Linked DNA regions of Mus musculus: regions 2, 3, 4, 5 and 6 are each reported to be linked to region 1. Evidence: microRNA targets listed by miRTarBase, many of them from high-throughput screens and not tested one by one. Region 1 holds a microRNA gene; each other region holds the end of a gene's coding sequence. Distances are from middle to middle.
Evidence for each region. Region 1 holds the annotated microRNA mmu-miR-223-3p (UGUCAGUUUGUCAAAUACCCCA, at 1,995-2,016, opposite strand). A microRNA usually pairs through its seed, bases 2 to 8, with sites in the 3' UTR of a target mRNA and lowers its output. Matches are read on the target gene's strand: a 7mer-m8 pairs with bases 2 to 8, a 7mer-A1 pairs with bases 2 to 7 and ends in A, and an 8mer does both.

Region 1 (4,090 bases):
CTATGTAGTCTGCATATGCACAGGATCAGATCAGGTTTCAACAAGAGGTACTCCCACTTTGAAATGACTGCAAAAGTCAAAATAGTACACAAAAGTGATTGACAGTCTGCCCTATTTTACCCCCACTGATGCTGCCAAGTCTATGACCAAAATCTCAGCATTTTCTTCTTTGACAAATGCTAGCTATGCATAATTAGTGTCAGAGATGACTTCTTCTTCTCCATCTCACTTACCAGCCTCCACAACCTGGGTACCACCCAGTAGAAACCTCAGCTTCCTTCATGAAACATCTGTGAGTCCAGCCCTGAAAGCCTTGAAAACACCCTTTATCTCATTCTGCTCTTTAGAATTAATCCCTGGGCTTGAAGAGAGAATGTTTATTGAAATTGCCCTAGTAAAGTGAGCCACAAATTCAGGGAACCCCCAACACTGGAACCACCAGGAATGTCTCCTATTCTTGCATGTGAAAATGTTTACAGATTACTTATCTGAACATTCACATACCACAAATTGGGAAGTGAAGCCCAGAGAGAAATGAAGGTTTGTCAAAAGTAACATACATCAAGTCAATGGCAGAACAAAGACTGGAGGTTAGACCTGTGGATTTTTAGCAGTGTGTGTACTTTGCTGCAGACATCTTCTGAAGATGGTCTTTGTCCCTAAACAATGGTATTTTTCCATGCAGGGTAAGCCAGTAAGTCATCCCTAGATAGAGATGCATCCCTCCGACAATTCTGAGCAAAATTGGGGTAACAATATGGGTCTTGTTATTTAGGTCACTGGTTAGTGGGTGAAAAGTTAAAGAATGAAAGTAGGTATCTCCAGAACCAAGGGAGAGTATGGAATTTCTCCAGAACCAAGGGAGAGTATGGAATTTCTCTAAAGAAGCTTGCCAAAATATATGTTATGAAATGTTAGACTCTGGAGAGAGGGATTGGAGATGCTTCATTTTATAGTTCTATATTAGAAGTTCACCCCAGTGCAATGATAGAATATTAAAGGCTCAGAAAATTCTGTTTAAAAAGACACGTGTAAACCAATAATTCAAAAAATTTTTCCCTCTGAGTCTATTCTTTCTTCTTGCCCTCCTGCCCCAGACCTAAATCTTATTTCTCAGAGGAAAAAAAAATCCATTTTGGTTACCATCTTGTATACACTATAGCATTAGAATACCCACAGTTTGATTTATTTTTTTCGCAAAACCCTGGTTGGTATTTGACCTATATAGCAAAAGGTTATTGACTAGTAAAACATCAATTAATTGGTAAATATTTATTAATAATTAAAATGTTGGACAATGGTATGAGAGACAGCAATCAACTGAATATAATAAGCTCTAGATTCTTACAATATAATAGGGAATTCAAGAACATACCCTGGAAAAATTCACTGACAACTTTAGAAGATGTGTTGGATGGTAGGACATATAATAGCACATACCAGTATGTGGTTAGCCAAGGAGTAAAGAAAAGTATAGGTTAACTTTCAATAGTGCCAAGAGGAATTGGAATTTGGTAGTGTCTGAAAGCCCAATGAAGATAAACAAGAAGGTTCTTTTAAGAATGATAAAAGCAAAGTGGAAAAGAGAAAATGTAGGTAGCTTAAGATGTGCTCCGAAGGCCAGACAGTGGATATTTATTTCCTACTTTCTCATAGAATTCATGATGCTTGTATGAAAATTCTGCTATTCTGGCTGCAAGAAGAGGAAAGTGAAAGAAGACATTAATAATAAATCAAATAATACTCTCATTCCCTGTATCCCTCATGTACCACTATGCAGTCCATGGCATTTTCACAATGTACACAGATGCATACCAGACTTGTAGACCCCAGAGCTGCATCGTTCCTACTCTGATGTTCTCTGAATAAATGTTATAGTTCCCTTAAAGACATAGAATAACACCAGAGAGCTTCATGTTTCATAAGCATTCATATGTAGGCAGCAGGCTATGTGCTCTGTCCTGGACCTGGAGCTGATAGGCATGAGCCACACTTGGGGTATTTGACAAACTGACACTCTACCACACAGAGTGTCCAACTCAGCTTGTCAAATACACGGAGCGTGACACTGCAGATGGCCAGATCAGGAACCTCCACTGGGCAGCAAGAACATGCTGGAAGATGTGCAACTGGAAAGAGAAAAAAATAGGGTGATTATATCTTACCCTAAGTGTGAGACAAATGGCAGACACTAACATGACTGACTAAGACACACCAAAAGAGGGAAGTGAACAAAACACGCTAATGCTCCAAACAAAAACGGGGATCCTGGGTGTTTGTCTGGAGATTCTGGTGGCCCAAGCCTCAATTAACTCTTCTATTCAGCTGAAACAGGAAAAAATTGTCATCATTCTGTCCTCGGGGACAATTTATGTGTTCCTTCCTCCTATCAACTTCTTGTATGCTCTGTTTACCCTGGTTATGTACCTAGATGTTGATTTTTAAAACTGGATTTGAATTCTACCTCTACCATTAACTAGCTGAACACCTTAAATAAATGAGTTTATGTCCCTGAAACCTACTTCTTCCATAGCCACAAAAATGCCCATGAAATCATGGCAAGAATATGTAATAATGCATATAAAGCCATTAATTTAGTGTTTGTTACCTAACAAATACTCAAAAATTGTGGCTATAGCCAGGTATGATAGTACATGTGTGCATACAAGCTTTCATAGACAGAGATAGGAGAACCTCAGATTTAAAGTCAATTTGGGCTATATAATACTACCCTTTCTCAAACAAAAAAGTAAACAATCAAGATCTAGAGATAAAACTCAGTAGCAGAACACTTACCTAACTTGTACAATACTCTGTATTTGATCCCCTGTACATAAATAAAAGTGACTAAAATGTGCTTTAAAATTAAACATATAAGATAGATACTAACAGGGGAAAAGATAGATAATTTATTTAACAGAATTGAAACAGTAATTTCTTGTGGCCTTAGCCGGCTTTGTCTAACTTGGTTGCCTTTTCTCATAAGCAGTAAAGAATTAATGATATTAAAATGCCCTTATAAGTCATCTAGTTTTACCCATTCAAGATTATAAATGAGAAAATGAAGTCTGATGTTTAGGGAAAGACTTCCAAAAGGTCATAAAACAAGTTGTTTACAGTTTGGGAATTATATCATCCATCAGCTCATTGTGTCCCTTGGCTGTCCACCCCACCACTTTTTCTTGTCTGCTTTTTATATTCCCTTGCAAAAGGGAGAGCAACAGCAACAAAGAGCAAAACAGGCAGTGGATTTTGCAGGGAAGTATTAAGATGTTTGAACTCATAGCTACCAGGGCAGCTGCCAGAAGAGCCAAGCCATCTCAATTTATTTGATATTTTGTTTAGCATCATGATCCTGTTATTCAAAATGCTTGATAGTATCAAATTTTGTCCTACCCAGGTTTAAAGTTTTCTTGGGCATCAATTGTCTTCTCTAGAAATAGAGACAGAAATCTTACATCTCAAGGTCTTGAAAAATGTTGGATGAGACTTCTAGAGCTTTTTAGAAGGGAGCTTAAAGAGACCTTATTTCCAACTCTGGAGCTAGTAAAAGCCAAGGAAAGTGATTAAAAGAGAAAGGAGTAATGGGTTATTGGTTTTGGTTTTCTTGACAGCATCTCTGCTTATCATCTGCTGTAAGGAGAGCTAGACACTTTAGAGATATCCATAGCCTCTCAATTGCCCTATCCGACCTCACATAACCCAAGAACACTGGAAAAGAGCCATGAAAGGGGCTAAAGAGTTCTAGTGCACTGACTTAATAGATTATTATAAATACTGTTTTCCAGGATTGATGGAGAAGTCAGTCCTTAAGCTGGGTAAGGGACTATTTCATTTTCATTCTTGATGTTCCAGTTCACACCTATTCAGAGGAATACATATAAGAGAAGCAAGTTTAGTTGATTAAAGTTAGTCAGACCCATAAGAATGAAGACATAGATGACTACATAGTCAGTCTTCATGACGCAAATTGAAAGGCATAAGCTTGGTAAAAGAGGTATAAGATTTTACCAAAAATCTATAAATGTCCAGAATAAGCCACATATCAGAAAATATATTTGGTGATAAAGAAGTACTCAGGACCATGTCT
Region 2 (4,090 bases), not on the chromosome of region 1:
TCTTTCCCTGTCTGCATAAGAAAAATTTCTGTAAATGTGGTCAGGGAAAATCCAAGCAAAAATCTAATTTGGAACTGGTTAGCAATAAATGGCCAAGTATCCACAGCTAGGAAGCAGGGCTAGTTTTAAACCTAAACTAAAATGTAAAATAAAGTGCTTTGTCTAAATCCTATTGTTCATAGTGTGTTTTCAATCAGAGCAAAAGAGCCCTAGTTTTGTTATTGCTACATCAACATCACACAAACAGCTCTATTCAGTCACTGCATGAAGGACAGGGGAAATGTGGCCAACTCCAGCCAACCTGAGTTCTGCTTCCAGATTCACAGACACATGGATTAGTGTTCATGAAAAACTGCTTTAAAACTAGCACTCTGCCAAAATCTTAAGACAGAAACTGAAGCCACCAAAGAATGTAGTCAAGATCAATGGACAGAGTTGGCTTAAGCAGTTGTGCTGTTGGCACCTGTTACATAATCTTAATGGTGTTCATTTCAACATAATTACCCTACACTACAAAGAAACAGAAGTGGATAAACAGCTTGGAGAAGGGATTTTATAGTCTGAGGAAGGCCCATTTTCTCAGGCTTGTCCTCTTTGTGTCCCCCATCTCTGTACACTCTGCTGTGATGGTATTCACAACTGGCAAAGGCTACTCAATGGAGACCCTAAAGGAAGCAGGTCTTAGATGTGGTTGGGAAGCCAGGAGCAGGATGCTCACAGAGTCATTTGTGGGCTAGAATGGCTAAAAATCATTTGTTCTTTTTTGTTCTTGCTAAAAGTATAACCTAAAATTCTGATACCTTCACACTTGACTAGACTTAACCTAAATGCCCAAACCAATAAAACCTGCATAGGTTGAGCATCCCTAACCCAAAAGTCTAAAACCCAAAACACTGTATGCATCACAGTGTTCAAAGAGTTTCATGTTTCTGAAATTTTTATATTTTGGGATGAAGGGATGCTCAGATGGTAAAGTCTTATCAAGATAGCCCCAGATCCAAAAGAAGCCTGAAACACTTCTGGCCCCCAGTATGTTGGATGACAGCTACTGTGTCCCACACTGAAAATGCACCATCAGAATCAGAATTCCTGGCACCTGTAGTCTCTGGGAATTGACAGGTACGGATCACAATTCTGCAGACTGCATGGAGTAGCAATGCTTCGAGTAGAGCACAGCATTAAAATCACTTCTATCCCCCAAAAGTTGTGGGGATTCCTGGCTTTGGGAACCAACTTATTATTGATGGATCATTCTAGAACTTTGCAGTTCTTTTTCTTCTATTTTTGTTGTTTGTTTTGAGAAGGGGGTCTCATGTAGCCCAGGTTGAGGTGGAAGCTACCATTCTCCTCTCTCCATCTTCTAAGTGCTAGGATCACAGGCCTGTACCACCATACCCATGAAGAATTTTCAAATGTTTATTTGAAAGTAAAGTTCTCCGGGCCCAGTGGCTCAGGCCTGTATTCACTGTAACTTGAGAGACAAAGGCAGGAGAATCAGAGTTTCAAGATATGTCTGGGTTACAGAATGAATTACAGGGCAGCCCAAGCAACAACTCAGTAAAACCTTAGCTTGATAATGACAATAATTATGATGATGATGATGATTGTGGAGGTTTGTATATGCTTGAACCAGGGAGTGGCACTATTTGGAGGTGTGGCCTGGTTGGAGAAAGTACATCACTGTGGGTGTGGGTTTTGAAGCTCTGCCAGTGCAAAAGAGCCAGCCTTTTCCTAGCTGACTTCTGAAAGAGAGGTAGAACCCTCAGCTCCTCCAGTGCCATGCCTGCCTGGATGCTGCCATGCCCCGCCTTGATGATAATGGACTGAACCTCTGAACTTGTAAGCCAGCCTCAATTAAAGTTTGTCCTTTATAAGAGTTGTCTTGGTCATGGTGTCTGTTCACAGCAGTAAAATCCTGACAATTATGATGACCAAACGTGAAAAGAGGGCCAGGGAAATAGTCAGTTCAGTGGACAAGGACTTGTCTAGTGTGCACAAAGATACAGGTTTAATCCCAAGAACTGAGGAAAAGAATAGATAGATAGATAGATAGATAGATAGATAGATAGATAGATAGATAGGAAGGAAGGATTTCTAAATGTAGTTTACAAATCTTTCTTGCTAAAACAAAATATAAAAAAAATTTTCCTATAATGTTGGCTATCGTAGACATTTTTGGTCAACAGTGACTTTGCCCCTGAAATGCATATTTCTAATGTACAGAAGATGCCAGAGGGAGCTTCCTGATTGCATGTCAGTGACGAGCACACAGGTTTTACTGTCAGCCTTTCCACTGCTATAGTAGGAAAATGGACACCCTAACCCAACGCAATGTCTCTGGAGGGTTCTGAGACTCAGTGAACCCACAATGCCAGGCATACAGATTAGGACAGCATCTTACGGACTTTATGTGGGGACACTGAAGCCAGGTGCCAACTTTATAATTTTCCCACAGTAAACCAAAACCAGAATACCCTAAAATGTGACCAGAAGTCTCTGTTCACAGTAAAATTCTGAAGATCCCATAAGAAGAATTCCTGCAAGTTTGGCCCATTGTTATTAGAACTTCTACACCTAAGACTAACTGGCACCTGAGATACAGAGTAATTTCCTCAGTTGCCCTAAAAGTTCATTGTTTTGGTTGTTAGCTATATTTGGCAAGAAATATATATATATATATATATATATATATATGTGTGTCATATCCTATAAGCTGTCATTCACTGCTCCTGATAGCAGCCTCAGCATATTTGAGCTCAGCATACTGTCTGCACTGTGGGAAAAAACAGAGCCCCAGACATAAGAAACAAAGAAACATATCTGAATTTCTACACCTCCACTTGCAAGAAGACTAGAGTAAATCTGGAAGTTCCTGGCACAATCTGCATAGAACACACTTAGTATTTGCATACATTTTTAATTTCTATGGCTAATATCAAAGGTGAATACCTCACACTTGTCAAAGCACATCTTTTCCTATTTTTTTCCCATGGGTCAAAATTCCTGCCTATATCCCCTGGCCCAGGTGCACGTTTTAATTCTAAACAAGTTAGGTGAGGTAGCCCATCCTGCTCATAGCAACAGCCCAGAGGGACACCTCTCCCTCCTGACAAGGTCCAGACACAAACTCCAATAGTCAGTCCTTCAGGAGAGAGGAAGAAGGAGGTGGACTAGGATCTCTCCTGCCTACCATCCATAGTCCATCAGATCACACATGGCTTCAAAGATGCAAGTCTCTCTCTTTATGTTCCCCCTCAGAGCTTTGATGGCTTGGTGAAGCTGGAGCCAGACACGGAGTATCTGGTAGCAAACTGGACTGTGTTATCAGTCCTCTCAGGGGAAGCTTCCTAGCCATACACACAGATTGTTTTGTTCCTTTCAAAGACAAGATTATTGGGAAAAACAACCAAGATAGACAAGCAGGCATCTGGTGGTACTGGTTCCTGCTGTTCTGGTGGAGACCTTTCTGTTCCCCATCCTCCAGCTGTGAGGACAGGGGGTGACTTGGGCTATATGCAGGGCTCTCTGGGTACTCCATTCATAGTGTGTTTGCCTCTGTGCCTGGTAAGCAGCTTTCTGTTCAGGAGCCGGCCGAGGGTCGCCCCCTTCTTCTGCCTCCCCTCTGGCTGCTGCAGGAATACCAGGTCATTATGTGACTGGCTCAAGCCCGGGTCTTTCTGTTGGTGTCGCCGGCGGAAGAAGAGCTTGGCACCTTTCCTTAGGAGTCCTCCTGCAAAAGGGAAGCACAGGAGTGGTCAGAGCCATAGGGAGGATGAACTCAAGCCAAGGAGGAAGCAAAGTTGCCAGACAGCTGTGACAGAGTCAGTGCTCCCTCAAAGAGTGACCACTGCCCAGAGGAGCAAACAGCACAGCCTAGATGATAGGAGGTCACCCTGTAGAGTGAAAGGCAGAACATTCCAGCAGTAAGACTGGCAAGGCTACACTGTGGAGTGGGTGGGCTGGGATCTACCATGGCCCCTCCCCTTTACTAGGAACTCTGTGAGCAAGGCTATGCAGTATGCCCAGGAATAAAGGCCATGTTCCTGATAGTTAAGCTAAGAGCCCTGGAGAGGGTGAAGAAAATGGATGT
Region 3 (4,090 bases), not on the chromosome of region 1:
GCCTTCACCCAGAATGCACTGCACTGGCTTGACTTCCTCATTCACAGCCTTTTTCAAATGTGAAACATTCTGCCTGCATTAGGAATAACCTGGAAAGTTGGAGTTGGGCCTATTTCCCGTGTAGATTGGAGTAGAAACAGAATAGGCGGCAGGAGACTATTGAAGGAGTGAGATATTAAGTACTATTTCTAGTTCATAAGAAAAGTCAAGTATCTAAAGCGGTATAAACAATTGTTCTGCAGTTCCTTCTTGTCTTATCCTTATTAAAACTATAAAGACAAGACAGTTTGTTTTGTGAATTTTACACAAATCAGTTTTGAAGACTGAGCACAGTTGCTTCCAATTGGAGAGATATTTCAAAATATTTCAACTAGCCAAGCTACTGTGATAGAAATAATCTCTATGTCTCAGAGTCCTACCAGTATTACATCTTATTTTAATTGTAAATGCTCAAGGAAGATGTACACCTTTGGTTGAATGCTCCATGGGCTTGAAGGGCCTGTTAGTTGACTCTACACAAGCTGCTTTGACTGGCTGCCAACTAGCTTCTGTCTTGCTGAGATGTACTTGACTGTCTTTTCATTGGCATTTTTCTCCTTACAGATCTTAGAAACCAACCCTACAGACGAGCCGATGCGGTGAGACGAAGTGTGAGACGGCGCTTCGATGATCAGAACCTGCGTTCTGTTAATGGTGCCGAAATAACAATGTGACTGGAGACCACCTTCATGAGAGGGTGTCCAAGAAACTGCCATTCCAGCCTTCACTACAGATGAAATACTCTCAAGGGCTCAGATTTAACAAACACATAGGAATTTTAAAGTGATGGGTTCTCTTTTTAACCCCTGTTAACAAGTGCCTAAAATTGGAAGTAACTTGCTCAGATTAATCAAAGCAATAGGTTTGACTTAAATCTTTTTACATCAGTATGTTACTCAGTTTTTTAACCAAAATGTAAACTTCATATTAAATTCATTATTTGCCATTTTGATTGTCCATTGTGGCCCACCCTGATTTCCTGGTAATCTGTAAATAACGGATGTGTGTGCTATGGGTATCCTTTGCTGAGAGGTCTTCTAAGAAATTTTGTGTTCGAGCCATATTCACCAACTCCTAACAAGGGACTGGAAACGGGAGATGGAAGCTGGCATACAATTACATCCTTCTTTAGTCTCAGCAAAGTACAAGCAGGATGCAACTGCAGTGCCACTCCAAGTCATTCGATTTTATCCTATTTCATGTTGTTTCTGTGCAAGGCTGCCATGCACAAAGGCATTCACTTGTATGACTTCAAGATGGCATAAAACATTGAAGACTTATTTGCAGAACTGTGTTAAGCTAGAGGCAGCTTTTAATAACGCAAAGGTTTCTTAATTAGCACTAAAATTAATGTCTCAGTATTCTGATTTTTGAGGACCATTATGGGTGAATCCTTAAAATAGAAATTGGTGCCTTGTTAGTCAGGGAGATTTTTACCACAAGCTCTATCAGTAAGCATTCAAAAATTACATGTATTAATGTAATGTTGGGAACCTGGCCTTATTCTCTTCTGACAATCGAAGGGTCCTTTTTTTTTTTTCTTCCCTTTGTAAATTATACTGATACAGTTGACATTAAGTTATCAGGGCTGAATTGCTTTATGCATTTCTTACTTATGGGAAATTCCCATTAAATTAACATTGAGATTAAGTTTAAATTATCCGCGATAGGGTTAAATGGTTGACTAAGTCACTCACCTTTACTTCCTCACTGACAAGGCATTTCCATCTTTCCCAAAGTCAAAGACTGGACTGAAGCTAAATTTGTACTTTTCATAATATATATTCTGCTTCTGGCTTACCTTGTTGGTACATCAGTATATTAATTGTAAAAATTATTGTATAGTATTTAACCACCAAATCTGTGTTCATGTGAACCCCTTGGTGAAGGCCCCCTTTTCATGGATGTGTAGTTATATGATCTTTAAAATGTACAGATATTTTGCTATAAGATTGGTGCAGTTTTTTATGGTTTTTACACTTCTCTTTAATTCCTACCTAAGCCTTTAGGTACTACTGTAAATATTGTTTTAAAATGCATCAGCCTATGCTACACAATCTGAATGTTACTTTAACTTATAGTTTGTTTTCTGAAATATATATATATTTAACTACAAGGACAGTTTAAAAGTCAGTTACCACATTTCACAGTAGTATGCCTATTTACAGATCCCTTTTAAACTGCCACTTGCTGTCACACTCATAAATGTGTAGTTTAAAAAGAACATGCCAAGATTGTCGTCTTGTTGAGTCAATATCCATCTTGGTGAGTATATTAATTTGATCATGATATCAGAAAAATATGTGGACCTCCTTCACACAAATCAGCTGCTTTCCAAAGGCGTGCATTTGCTTAAAGCAAACTGCCCATTTCCCAGTGTACAAATGGACAATAATGTTGGCATATTCTTCTGTCTGTCTAGTAATGGCCCTGCTTCTTAGCAATATTAGAAATGTTTTATAAAAGCAATCCATGTTACTTTTCTGGTCTTTTCATGCCATTTGAGCAAATAAACTATTTACACTACTATTCGGTCATATGTTCTAATCCTTTGTATATTTTATCTGTTTTAGAAAAACTGCTCCCTCATATTCTTTATTAAAAAAAAAAGAGATATTGTCATCACCTACATATAAAGAAAGGCTCCCCTGATCTCTCTTCACCCCTTCTCTTTCAGCTGTTACCTTGCCCCACTCTCTCTCCCAATAAACCTCAAGTGGAACTGTTAAAAAAAGTTGTGCTCCCAAGCCAAGAACACAAGCCTCTCCTCTCCTCTCCTGCCCAGTTCCCCAAGTTCTAATTAATTGCAATAGGACTTTTGACTTATTTAAAATGTCTTAAGGTATTACACATTTAGAATTTTTTGAATGTAACTAGAACAGTACAGCTCAAAGGATGATTTGGTTAGATTTAGAGATCATTTTATTAAGAGGGGTTTAGTTGGGGATCCAATCCTGGCCCTTGCATATGCTACCCCTGAGAATTAAGTATGCTTCCATCCGGTCTTAATGCCGTGCCCTGTGACCTGAGTCACTTCCTACAGGACACAGAATAGAAGTAACACAGCAAATCACTGAAACTACTTTGCTGCAGAATTACTACATTTTACAGAGGCAGATGAATGCTTTTATAATTCTATTTAGCATTTTGTTTATTCTAGTCTTTATTAGATATACAAGAACAATTTATTAAGACAGAGTTCATTCTCTAGCTAGCTGTTCAAAGTTGTATTTTTTTTTTTTTCATTTTCATGAAAAGAATGGGAGAAAACAGGTACAGGTTCTCCTGATCAGAGTTCCTTGAGGGGGTTGATTAAGGTCTAACTTTTTAAGCAAAGTGGGTACTACACTGAGAAGCAGGGTTGTGGGCACTTCAAGTCACAACAGAGAACTGTGGGCAGTAGGGCAGACACTTAAAGAGAAACGGTGACACAAATCCAACTTATTTAATAAATATGCCATTGCTCTATTTACAAAAGGTCCGTTGTATCTATGAGGTTCCATACATCACACAAATATAAAAACAAATAAAAATCTGGTGATTGCATAGAAAAGATAAACCTTTTGCCAATTACCTTTCTGAACAAATCCTGTTTAGTTGTAGAGGAAGGCAAGATGACTACACTAACACCTACCCAAATATGTTAGTAGTCAGGACCAAAAACCAAAGATTTCAGTAACCAGGAGATACTCTAGTAACAGTCACAGCATAGTATCAAAAAATGGCTTAGCTTGAATGTGATCTGCTCCATAGCCCAGATTGAAGAGCAGCGTTATGGACTAGCCTGTTTCTTTGAAATGTAAACATTAATTATACTAGGGTCATCACTGTCAAAGACTGGTTCCACCGATGACCTTGAACTGAATCCACTCATTCTCAAATGCAGCTGTTGAGCACATACAGCAGGTTTAGGAATAGCATCTTATTAAGGAACTTAAACGGGGGGGGGGGGGGGTCGGGTCTAAAATGGAGGACAGCTCAACAAAGTGTATGTTATCTTTCATTCTTACATTGAAAGGAGCCCCAAGACATGGAGTGCAACAGTGTTACC
Region 4 (4,087 bases), 6.3 Mb from region 1:
CTTGTTCCTTCAAGAACAGGTAGGTTGTCCAATGTGGAATACACCTGCAATCACTGCATCTAGGAGTTTGGAGGCCAGAGGATTGGGAGACCAAAGCCAGGCTCAGCTATTTAGTAAGTTCAAGACCGGCTTTAGCTACAGGAGACCCAAAACCTATAACAGGTATTTCCTTCTCTTAACCACTGTGAGAGAAGACAGAAGTATCCAAACAAAATATGAAAGACCCAAGGTGGGGGATCCCAATATAGTCTCACTAGGGTTCTCTCCAAGTGCTAATAACAGAGGATGTTATTAGCAAATGTGACTCACTTAATCAAATTTTAATTGATATTTTATTTTGAAAATGCTTTATAATAGAAAATTCTAAATAGTAATTAAAATAATTTCGGGAGTCTAGTGACAAGTGCTATGTATAGAAGTTCATATCCATCCTGCACAACCCTTCATGTCCCCTTCTGGTTAAACAGCCAGAGAAATGGTGCTGGGGAGGAAGCTCAGAGGCACACTAATTAGAGTTTGACTCAGTAGGATCAGTAATTTTCCCTTTCACTCTGTTTTCCCACCCTTTTAAACCAAATAGAAAACCCTCGGCGCAGATGATACCATGTTGGCAAAGGATCCTGCATCTGGCATCTGTACTCTCCTGTATGACAGTGCACCCAGTGGCAGATTTGGCACCATGACCTACCTCTCCAAGGCAGCTGCCACCTACGTGCAGGAGTTTCTGCCACACAGCCTCTGTGCCATGCAGTGAGGGCTGTGGGTTCTGCCTGTTAGAACACTTCAGTAGCTAGCCCGTCTGGTTGATTGTGCATGGAACTGACATGTTAACACCTGATCACTCCCCCAGGCCCTTTTCCTGCCCCATCCCTCCTAGGAAGAGAGAACTTTGCTGACGATCTCACTACTTTTGAAGAAAAGAAGCCCTATCTGGAGACTTGACTCCAGAGCGAAGCCCTATCTGGAGACTTGACTCCAGAGCGAAGGTTCAACTGCGCCTGCAGTCACTATCCCTACTTTTGTGGTTCATAGAAGTCTGCATGTGCGTTGATTCTGTAGAGCTGTTAGTGGCTTAGTTTTTAAACTCCTATTGGGGAGTAGGTATTAATAACTTATTCCTGTAAGTTGGTTTTCTTATTTGTTGGTTTTTACGTGTGTATATGAGTGGTGGGTATTGATTAGGCCATCATTTCAAGAGAGTAGATGCTAAGTTGGATTTCGTGCTGCTGTAAATTGGAACTGTCGACTCTAAGTGCCTTTACTTAGGAAAAGCCAGTACCACATCATGGCTTCCTTCTTCACTCAAAGGCTGCTTTGCTCTGAGTGGGGAAAGAGTGGGTGTTTTGTAGAAGCATTGCCTTTCATTGTTCTTTCTATATCTGTCCACAATGCCTACTGTCTCTGTGGTGAAATATTAAAATATGTAAGCTCACATGGAAGTTTAAGAATTTCTGTGTTAATACTTGGAATAACCCAGAGAAAAGAAGCCAGAAGCCTAATTCCAGAGAGGAAGGGAAAGAAGTTCTGTAGGTAGTGCTTTACACATAGGGGGCCGAGAGAACATCAGAGGCAGGTAGGTTGCTTGTGGACAGCCTTAGACACCAAATCCTTGCCTCTGGAGTGTAGCCACACACAACACAGAGAGTAACTGAAGCCTATCTTAAGCAAAGAGAAACCACCCGTCCACTCTGGGGCTGCCCTACTGAATGCCCCTTTCCAGGACCTTGGTATTCCTTCTCATTCAGTCCCCAGCACATCCGGCTACCCCTAGCTCTCTCCACATTCATTCCTCAAGTCTCTCATTTACATGGTTTGACTTTTTAATTCTAGTACTTACAACCTTTAATCTTGGTAACTGTGGCCAAATATCTATTGTTATACATATCTCTGAATGTGCTTGTAAGTGGTTAAATAATTTGTAAGCATTTTTGATCTGTCTGTCTGTCTCTACATGGATGGACTGAATAAGAATGTAAATAATATTTATTGCAAAGCAAGCCTGGTCATACTTGCTGCTTGAGAAGCTGAGGCAGGAGGATCATGAATTCAAAGCCAGCCTGGGATACATAGCAAGTTTCAGGGCAGTGTGGGTATGAGGTTGTGTCTCAAAAACATTTGAAAGCATGTTGTGCATGTGTGAGAGAGTGGCGTGGCTGGTCTCAGGCTGACACTCGAAGGGTAGTAGAAATATCCCTTCTGGCCTATTGTCTGCTTCGCTGTGTAGGTAGCCTGACTTGACAGAGGTTTCTCCTGGTTTTCCTTGTTTCTACCCAGAGAATTTCCTACTCCCCTTTCCCTCCAAATGTTAAGGGTTTTCTCCCAGAACAGTAATGGGGCTAAAGGGGCAGTGAGCTCCAAACAGTCACAGAGTGAGGAGTCTTCTGAGCTCCCTGGCTAAGTGCAGCGTGCTAGCAGACAGGCAGGGGATGCAAACGGCTGCCGGGCCACCTCTCCCCTCTCACAAACCATATAAACACAGGGAGGGGCTTTCTCACCACTTCTGAGGAGACTGTACAGCCCGTTTTGTGCCTGTGTGTGTGTTCATGGCCTGTAAGTGTACCCCAAGCACTGTGGGCGGGAGCTACCACTTCTTTGAGAACCTCTGCTTTACGGTTGACACTGATGCTTATCTTTCTCTGGAGTTACGGATTTGCCTGTGGATTTAATGCTCACACCATGCTATTTAATTTTTAAAGTAACTTTTCAGAAAATATTACTGGCGTTTTGTTCATTTTAAGACTGTTAACATGAAGAAAAGTGTGCTAGAACTTTTTAAAAACACATAATGTCTTGAAGTTAGAATAAACACTAAGAAATGACTATGTCTGGTGTTACTGCACAAAAGCTTATCTGGTTTGTGACTGAAGCTAATTCATGATTATTTCACATAACGTTTTGCTATACAGTATACTCAACTGGGTCAAATAAGACTAACATTTATATACTGTACATTATCATACATCATATATCATATATAAAAAAGCCACAGGTTTAGTGCTATCTTTAGACAGACTGCTCACTAAAAACATAAGATGGGTGCTTACTCTATTTCAACTCTATATAAGTGGTATTTCTAAACTATTAGAAAACTAAATAGTTTGCTCTCCTAAGTATTCTCAATATTTCACATATTGTTTAAAATATTCATTGGCTTGAACTTGGTGGTAGAAGCACATGCCTTTAATCCTAGGACTTGGGAGGCAGAGGCAGGTGGCTCTCTGTGAGTTTGAGGCCAGCCTGGTCTACAGAGTGAGTTCCAGGACAGCCAGGACCACATAGAGATACCTTGTCTTAGAAAACAAAAAGCAAAACAGAAATCTCACTAACCATTTCTATAACAAGTGAGTATGTATCCACCAAAGATGAACAGGGTTTCTACATGCCCTGCCTGGGACATACTAGTTAGATGAGGCTGACTGGTCAGTGAACCTCAAGCATCCTTTTGTCTGGGTGCCCAGCACCATGCCAGCTTCTTCCCTGGGTCCTCATGCTCACATAGCTTCTTCCCTGGGTGCTCATGCTCACATAGCTTCTTCCCTGGGTGCTCCTGCTCACATAGCTTCTTCCCTGGGTCCTCCTGCTCACATAGCTTCTTCCCTGGGTGCTCATGCTTACATAGCTTCTTCCCTGGGTGCTCCTGCTCACATAGCTTCTTCCCTGGGTGCTCATGCTTACATAGCTTCTTCCCTGGGTCCTCATGCTCACATAGCTTCTTCCCTGGGTCCTCATGCTCACATAGCTTCTTCCCTGGGTCCTCATGCTCACATAGCTTCTTCCCTGGGTGCTCATGCTTACATAGCTTCTTCCCTGGGTCCTCATGCTCACATAGCTTCTTCCCTGGGTGCTCATGCTTACATAGCTTCTTCCCTGGGTGCTCATGCTTACATAGCTTCTTCCCTGGGTGCTCATGCTTACATAGCTTCTTCCCTGGGTCCTCATGCTCACATAGCTTCTTCCCTGGGTGCTCATGCTCACATAGCTTCTTCCCTGGGTCCTCATGCTCACATAGCTTCTTCCCTGGGTGCTCCTGCTCACATAGCTTCTTCCCTGGGTCCTCATGCTTACATAGCTTCTTCCCTGAGTCCTC
Region 5 (4,090 bases), not on the chromosome of region 1:
TGTGAGGTAGCCCTCTAGGGATGACGGACTGGAGTCAGAGCACAATATTTTAATAGCCTGAGACTTTTGGGTCAGAGCTGGCCTTCTCACCACTGTGTCGGATTTTATCTTTGCCTTCTAAACTCTATTTGACACTGGATATTGGAAGAGACTTATTAAGACAACTGCAGCTATTAATCTTGTTTTGGAACACTGATTTTAGAGAGTAACTGGCAATTTGTGTTTTTTTTAGGGTGAAAATCCTATTTACAAGAGTGCCGTGACAACTGTGGTCAATCCGAAGTATGAGGGAAAATGAATCCTACTCAGGCGGATTTTGCAACACCAAGCTCACAGCAGCAGCATCTTAGTCACAGTAGGGTAGTTTTGGGGCTCTGTGGCCAGGGTTTTATTCACATGCAGGTTTGGAAAATGTACAATATGTATAATTTTTAATTTTTTATTATTTTGAAAATAATGTTATAATCCATGCCAGGGACTGACAGAAGACTTGAGAAAGGATCTTTATCCTTGTCAGCTGAGGTCACAGTGTGCCTTTTTAACCCTTCCTTCTGGACCATTGGAATCAAGCTCTCACTAGATTGAATGACACTGCTAGTGCCAATGCAGGGCAGAGCTGAGCAGCGTCGCAGCATCTGAACCATGACTGATTTTCAGCTTCACAGGGTGGCCAGGGCTGGTTATACAGAATCAAAGAACAGTCCTTGCTGGTGGCTTTGTTCTTTGTTTAGCCTGCTGGCTGCCCTCTGGGAATTCCCAGTGATGTATGTGGAAGACAAGAGTGTTGACAGTTTCCAATTAAAATAAAATTGACACAGTTGATGTTCAAGTCCATTGGAAAAATTCTGAGAGGTGGGAAGGAAATCTTAGCTTTAAAACCTGTGTGCCATTGTGAGTTACTTGATCCTGTAACTCCGACGCCTTTTCTTTATAAATCCAACCTTGGATAAAAGTACTGGGAACTTCTCTGCTAAAAAGTCCCTGACTTAGCACTATTCACATAAAGGCCATAATTTTAGTAGCATTGCTGAGTGGGGACCTTTTGGGTTGAGCTTATTTTACCTTTTTTTTTTTCTTTAATTCCTGGTGCTCCTTTATCACCTTCTCTAATCTTTTAATGTGTCTGTTTGCAATATGGGGGTTAGACTTTTTATCATTACCTTTTCTTTTCCTTGGCTGTACATTTACCTTTTTCACAAATACTGTAAGCTGTCCTGCTGCTTGCAGGACTACAGGGCCTGGGCAGGGCCCCCCAGCAACAATTCACCCACAGTGCACCTGCACATGCCTTTCCTACATGCTTGCTCTGTCTCGAACTAGTCACAATCTTGTTTTAAGTGCCTTTTCATTTTGACAGTGCTATTAACTGAAGTTATTTATTAAAATAAAAAGGCCTAAATACATTAAGTGATTTGTTTTGGCTCTGTATTTTTATTAGTTTTGTGCATTTTTATGTGTTAAAGATATGGTAGAGAAACGTGGCTCAAACCACTTAAGCCAAAATGACTCATTTTAGACATGTGGGGAGTGGGTAGTAGAACAGATTTTAGTTAGGTGTTTTATTCTTACGTTAGCAGAACATTTTATGAATATCATTTTAGGCTACTAGATGCTGGAGAACTAATAGTTAAGAGAGGGGTTGTATTTTCATTCTTAGGAAGAACTAGGGAAATCTTAACTTTCTTTTGGTTTTAGTTTATTTTTCTGTAAAACTATTTCCATAAAAACACTTGTGTAAGGTTTAAAAGAACTTGGGTTGGCAAAGTGTCTTAATGGGTAAAATCTCTTGCTGTGAAGGCTGATCAGAAGTCAATCCATACTTTATATGTGTTGGTGTTCACATACCATGACAGGCACGTGGAGGTTAAGAAACAACTGTGTGGAAACAACTATATGGATTCTGAAGATTGAACTTAGGTCTCCAGGTTTGTGCAGCAAGTGCCTTTAACCAGCCTTCTGTGCTTTCTTAAGTTATCAATGGGTATGTGTGCGTATGTCTCATGTTCACATGTGAGTACATGTATATGCCTACATGTGTGCATAAGGAGGCCAGAGATCAACCTTGGCTGGAAAGTGAGAACCAATTCCACAAAGTTGTTTTTTATTGGCCTAGAACTTACCAGAGGGGCTGGCTAGTGAGCTTCAGAGATTTTTGTTTTTACCCCTTTCTAGTGCTAGGCTTACAATCATTCATTACTATGCCTGGCATTTTATTTCCCTTGGTTTCTAGGGATCAAAGTGAGGTCCTCATGCTTACAAGGCAAACACTTTACTGAATGAAATATCTCTTCAGCCTGAATTTATGATTTTAATATTAAAACATTAAAACAACATATTTTTATTTTCTAAGTGTCCCTGCTTGAAAGTGTAAATTTTTTTTTATTCTATAGGATCAACTGACAAATCAAATTACACTTAAAGAACCACTCATTTTAAACACACATAGCACAGATGTCGTTTAATTGCCTTTTTACCACACCAGAAGGTACTGGAAGCATCTTATCTAGTCAAAGCAAGCCGGAACATCAGCAACCACAGAGCGATCTTAAGGTTCAAGCTGTTCCAAAAAGTGATGAGGAGTTCTGAAAATAAACCATCAATTGTCACTATCAGTGCTAACACATACATTTGGACTTCTGACAACTTTTAGTTTTCTACAGCTTTGGTAATTGAAACAGATTTTATATTAATTACCTAGTTACATGTTATTGTCAAAATACCTTTGATTTTAAAGTCACTGTTCTTTCTCAGTGGCAAAACAGACTCCAAAGCTGCCTTATGGATAAAGAACTGTCCATGAAGCTCTCAATACCCTGAATTCTAGTGATCAATGTCCCTTATTTGTTGGTTAATACCTCAGCTATGTCTTTTCAAAGTTTATATAGATCCCTTAATTCCCAATGAAGAATTCCAGGTGTATCTGCTGCCCCAGTTCTCATAGATCTAAACAAGAAGACAGTTGAGAATTGTTCTCCAAATAAGTCTTAGAGAGGTTGCTTCTGCTAATTATTGAACTGTGTTCTCCATTGTGAGCACCATAAGGTGCTTAAGGTTAATAACAAACTTACATAAACATCTAAAATTTCACTCACTGTAGCTACCTGTTGAGAGCCCAATTCATCTGTTCCATATTGAAGGACAACATGCACATTTCCACAAAATTCTACAGAGTGTTAATGGAAGGGAACTCTTTCATAATCATTCTGAAAAAAGGTGGCTGGAGAAGAGGATCATTTAAGCACCATCTGCCAGTAGTTCTAGAACCTGGATTATAGCAAAGGGGAGCAGCTGTTTGCTTATGTGGTTGGTTGAGTTCTTACAGTGCTTATGACACAGGTCGCTTCATAGTAGGTACATATTAATATCACATACATAGAATCTGGTTAAACTGTTCTGTGGATGGGGACAGTGAACTTAGGTTTTTAAAAGCACCTATGGGGGATTCTATTTTGTGGATGGGCTTGAGATGCACTGCCTCTACAAACTTATTCACTCGTTTGATGTCACAGAATACTCTTCATGGAAACTGAGTTGGAAATACCACTTTTCCCCTTATTCCCTCTTCCTTCTTTGCCTCTCCCTTCTTCCTCCTCCTCCTCCTCCTCCTCCTGTTGCTGTTGATTTTTTTTTTCCCTTTGGGACTAGGTCTTATTAAGTAATTCAGTAGGTGACCTCATGCTCCTTCTGCCTCAGTCATCCAAATTCTAGGATTGCATACCTGAGGCATCATACATTTTTAATCTTATAGTCCTAATCCTTAATTAAAAGAACTCTTGGCCAATTCATTTTAATATTTGTCATTTTGCCAGATCCCTTAAAGAGTCAGTATCTGCCTTTATGGGCTTACAATTTTGAAGTTTTTCCTGATTTACTCTCAGCAGAAAGCATTAGAACTTTCTAAAACAGGTCTCTTTACACATCTGCTTATTTACCAGGGATCTCTCATATGCCAGGCCCTTTTGTGGAAGGCAGGGGTGCTAGACCCATGCAGAACTTAGGGACCGACTGCTGAGTAAAGGTACTTGACAATTACTCTACCATCTGAGTTCTATTCCCAGCCCTCTGAATGCCAGATTTTTAGTGTTCGTAG
Region 6 (4,090 bases), not on the chromosome of region 1:
CTGGGTCCCCTCCACCCTCTGGTTCTGAGGTCTGGGAACAGGAGAAACAGGTATCTGGGTGGGGCCTGGGGTCTCCCCAGGTCCCTGCTGACCATGCCTCCGCCCTCAGACAGGACAAGCTGAAGGTGCACATGCGGAAGCACACGGGTGAGAAGCCGTACCTGTGCCAGCAGTGCGGCGCCGCCTTCGCGCACAACTACGACCTGAAGAACCACATGCGGGTGCACACGGGGCTGCGGCCATACCAGTGCGATAGCTGCTGCAAGACCTTTGTGCGCTCCGACCATCTGCACAGACACCTCAAGAAGGACGGCTGCAATGGGGTCCCCTCGCGCCGCGGCCGCAAGCCCCGTGTGCGGGGTGTGCCACCCGATGTCCCTGCCGGGGCCGGCGCACCCCCCGGGCTCCCGGACGCCCCGCGCAATGGCCAGGAGAAGCACTTTAAGGACGAGGAGGAGGACGAGGAGGAGGCCAGCCCGGACGGCTCAGGCCGCCTGAATGTAGCGGGCAGCGGAGGAGACGATGGTGCAGGTGGCCCGGCGGTGGCCACCGCCGAGGGTAACTTCGCAACCTGACTCGTATTAAAACAAACCAAAAACAAAACAAAACAAAAAACTAAGAACAGAGAGAAACCACCACCCACCCCCAGCACCACGAGTAAGCAGTTCTCTGTCCAGACGCCCTCCATCCACCTGCGCGGACGTGTGTGCGTGTATATACCATGGCCGCGGGCGCCTGCCTTTCTCAGATCCTTAGGATGTGGCCCCATCTGCTCCTGTGTCCCTCGTCCCATCCACCAAGGGGTCCCACGCAGGGGCCCAGCCTGCTCTTGGCTAAGGCGAGGGTGATGGGGACCCCAGGACAGGCGCCCGGCTCCTTGCTGGTTGGTTTTAGGGGGTCTTAGACAGACCTTAAATGCTCTGTCCACTATGAGTGGACGTTAAAATGGTCCCCACCCTCCTTCCTCAGGGCACTTACTAAAGAGGGGGGTGTCCCCTCGGCCTCCCTCCCGGCCTGTGGCCTCCGCATCTCTGCACATCCACCCTGGCCACCACTGACATACAAATCTATTTATTCCCAAGCCTGGATGGCCAGAGCGGGGATTGGGGGGGGGCCGCTGGGGTCCCCGCCACCCTCCTTCACGGCACTTACACCTGACGGGGCCCTCGGGGCCACTGCTCAGGGCGACCCCCCCCCCAACCTTCCCATCTCTGCTTGGCCATGCCCCCACCCCGTGTTCAGAGATTGAAAATTTGTCGTCACCCCACTCCCCACTTTTTAAGGCACTTTTTAGATCGATTTCCCCTTTGACTCCTTAAAGACAGTTTATATAGAGATATATATAGAGAGAGATATATAAAATATTCTTTTCCTCAGAGGAGCCGGCAGCAGTTTTGGGTGGACATAGCCAAGATCAGAGGTAACCCCAGGGACTCAGGCAGAGACAGACAAGGGAGTGAGAGAGGCCACAGCTTAATGTCACAAAACAGCAATAAAACCCCAAGATTTTAGTAAACACGAAGGCAGAACATTTTTTAAAAAATCAGCAAAAGCGGTGACAGCCACGTGGGGATCTTGGCACTTTGTAACTGAACGGGTACTTTTCATTCTTAACTTGAGAAATGTTTACAAGTTGCACCCAGCTTCTATGAAAAATTGAAGAGAGAGCGAGAGAGTGGGAAGTAACTAAGTCAATTTATTTTTGTATAAAATAAAAGAACCCCAACCCATCGCTCCGGTAGAATCCACTTGCGCTCCCGAGACTCAGGGTGGGGCGTCCAGGGCGCCATGGGAAGGGACCCGTGGGTCCCCCAGTCTGCCAGGGGCCTCTGTCCCCCAGGTTATTTTATTTTCTCATTGTCTCTGTAGGAGACCACAGGCCTGGGAGCCGCAGGCCACCTGTGCTGTCCTTCCCAGCTCAGGGATGTCCCCGAGAGAGGGCTGGTCCTCGACTAGCCAGATCCCCATGCCCCATGTCTGTCCCCTCCCCATGTGGTGGTCCCCCTCTTAGGCACCCCCTCTTTTTACTCAAAGGCACTGACTGTAACCCAGGGGCTAGCACCCGAGCCCCCCATACCCCAAACTCTGGCTTCCCCCAAAGGCCCGGTATTGACCGAGCCACAGGCCACGGACAGGGGCCGGGGTTGGGGGACATGGCTGCTGGGTGCCAGGGCGCCCCCCGTCAAACCCCGTGGCCAAGGTGGAACCAAACTTGGGACCTTGTCCATGCACACTCTGTCCAGCCCTTCCCCATGGGTGCCGGCGGGGGTAGCGGGTGTTCCTGTGTCCCCCGCTGACAAATGTCTTTCTTTGGTTTTAAAAGGAAGCTCACTAAGAAGGTCGCTTTCCAGTTTCTAGCAGAGGGGTTTTCCTTTCTAACTCCTCCTACCACGCGAGCCCTCCCCCCCCCCCCAGATGTCTCAGGATCCCCCCTTGGGGCCAGCAGAATGGGCCCAGGGGCGGGGTGGTGCTGGCCTCCCCTCGCACCCCACTTCCGCAGTGAGCTGTCCCGGGAACTGTGCTGTGGAGGCCAAGTTGGGCCCCCAGCCCCCATTCCCAGACAGGTCAGCCCCTCCACCTTCTCGCAATAAAACCAACTTTAATCACATGTCATCCTGGCCAGTGGCCACTAGACTTGGGGTGGATGGAGCCCTTGGGGACTATGGTAGGGTGCCCCATAACCCGCCAGCGAAACCGCAACCCCCTTGGGAATTGCACTAAACCCTTGACCCCCGCTCCGCGCTCAGCTTCTGCCCACCCACACCCACCTTGCCTTAACCGCCAGCCCGTCCTAGGGGGCCGCAGCCACCGCATGGGCCCAGCGCCGGGACATCCCCCAGCCCCCTAAAGGCCCGCCCGTACCCCGCCCCCCAATATACTGCAATCACATACTGTATATAGAATGCGGATCAATTTTTACAAATTTTTATTCTTTAAATTAAGGCCGTGATAAAAGTTGCCAAAGAGAATTGTGGAATTCACTAGAGGTTTGAGCGGAGGGTGCTGTAGAAAGGTTTTATTTGGTTGTTTGGGGTTTATTTTGTGTGTGTGTGTGTGTGTGTGTGTGTGTGTGTGTGGTTTTTTTGTTTGTTTGTTTTTTTGCTTTTTTTTCTTTTTCCTTTTCCCTCTACTTTTTTTTTTTTTTTTAATTGCCTGGTACCAATAACAAAAAGGAAAAAAAAAACACAACAGAAATTTGTTACTTCCATTATGGTGAATTTGCGTGTGTGTGTGTGTGAGTGTGTGAGACAGACAGAAGGGCCCAGGCTGTGGGGTTCTGGGGACCCCAGTGCTGGGGAGGGGACCAGCCTGCAGCTGGCCCCAAGCCTGTGACCTGAGCAAGGCCACCCCTGCTGAGTAGTTGCTGCTCTTTGCCTTCCTATCCCTACAGGCCTTTCGAGATTAAGAAAAAAGAAAAAAAAAGGCAAAAAATAAAAAAATAAAAATGAAAAAAAAAAAACTATATATCTATAGAACCCAATGAATGTACATGGCAGACCTGGCCCAGCCATGGTTCCGTCATGGTGGGATCGAGTGGTAGAACCAAAGTGGGTGCCCTGGGGTGCTCATTCACCCTGTGTGAGCACAGCTGACCTGAGGGTGCTCGGTGGGTGCCCTTGGGTAGCCAGGGAAGGCTGTCACTTGTGGCAGGCATAATGGCAGCCTCGAAGCCCAGGTGGAGCCCCGGCTGGTCGTTCAGGGAATAGACAGTGTAAGTAGGGGGTGTGTAGGAGGGACACAGGCTGAAAGGAAAAATAGAAAAAAAACAAAAAAAAAAAACCAAAACCACAAAAACCAACAAAAAAAAAAAAAAGAAAAAGCAAAATCCTATTTTTTGAGAAAGAAAGATATTTATATTTGCAGTTTTATTTTAAAAAGTTATTTAAGCTGAGGAAACGGCCTTCCCGGAGTTCGGGGTGGCTGGCACCGGACGGGTCAGGGGTCTTGGGGGGCTCCTCACCCCAGGAATGATTATCTCAGTTCAGAACTAGCTCGCACTAAATATATATTGATTTACCTTTGTGGGGGGCAGGGGGGCCAAGAGACAGAGGGTCAGGGGAGCCCCGCCCCAGGCCCAGAATGAGGTGCC

Region 2: miRTarBase lists C2cd2 as a target of mmu-miR-223-3p. Seed matches in the 3' UTR shown: 7mer-A1 at 2,253-2,259 and 7mer-m8 at 1,961-1,967.
Region 3: the mRNA of Fmnl2 is a reported target of mmu-miR-223-3p. Seed matches in the 3' UTR shown: 7mer-A1 at 1,749-1,755.
Region 4: the mRNA of Phka1 is a reported target of mmu-miR-223-3p. Seed matches in the 3' UTR shown: 8mer at 818-825.
Region 5: the mRNA of Itgb1 is a reported target of mmu-miR-223-3p. Seed matches in the 3' UTR shown: 7mer-A1 at 478-484.
Region 6: miRTarBase lists Zbtb7a as a target of mmu-miR-223-3p. Seed matches in the 3' UTR shown: 7mer-A1 at 1,054-1,060.

Annotation. Positions count from the first base shown.
Region 1 is chrX:96,240,810-96,244,899 of GRCm38, reverse strand. It overlaps Mir223 (microRNA 223), which reads right to left and starts at 2,083; the gene lies at 1,974-2,083. It overlaps F630028O10Rik (RIKEN cDNA F630028O10 gene), which reads right to left. Exons shown (of 3, transcript NR_030718.1): 3 at 1,258-3,862.
Region 2 is chr16:97,855,847-97,859,936 of GRCm38, forward strand. C2cd2 (C2 calcium-dependent domain containing 2) reads right to left here. Exons shown (of 14, transcript NM_174847.2): 14 at 1-3,730. The coding sequence ends at 3,510. Among named protein-coding and RNA genes, the nearest start is that of Prdm15, 6.7 kb to the left of the region's middle.
Region 3 is chr2:53,131,237-53,135,326 of GRCm38, forward strand. It overlaps Fmnl2 (formin-like 2), which reads left to right. Exons shown (of 27, transcript NM_172409.2): 27 at 604-2,966. The coding sequence ends at 642. It overlaps Prpf40a (pre-mRNA processing factor 40A), which reads right to left. Exons shown (of 26, transcript NM_018785.3): 26 at 3,466-4,090. Among named protein-coding and RNA genes, the nearest start is that of Prpf40a, 58 kb to the right of the region's middle.
Region 4 is chrX:102,512,709-102,516,795 of GRCm38, reverse strand. Phka1 (phosphorylase kinase alpha 1) reads left to right here. Exons shown (of 33, transcript NM_008832.2): 32 at 1-19; 33 at 581-2,821. The coding sequence ends at 754. Among named protein-coding and RNA genes, the nearest start is that of Hdac8, 9.6 kb to the right of the region's middle.
Region 5 is chr8:128,731,791-128,735,880 of GRCm38, forward strand. Itgb1 (integrin beta 1 (fibronectin receptor beta)) reads left to right here. Exons shown (of 16, transcript NM_010578.2): 16 at 233-1,789. The coding sequence ends at 298. It overlaps LOC108167564 (a long non-coding RNA gene), which reads right to left. Exons shown (of 5, transcript XR_003947630.1): 5 at 2,444-2,582. Among named protein-coding and RNA genes, the nearest start is that of Gm26100, 37 kb to the right of the region's middle.
Region 6 is chr10:81,147,861-81,151,950 of GRCm38, forward strand. It overlaps Zbtb7a (zinc finger and BTB domain containing 7a), which reads left to right. Exons shown (of 3, transcript NM_010731.3): 3 at 110-3,797. The coding sequence ends at 575. Among named protein-coding and RNA genes, the nearest start is that of Zbtb7a, 14 kb to the left of the region's middle.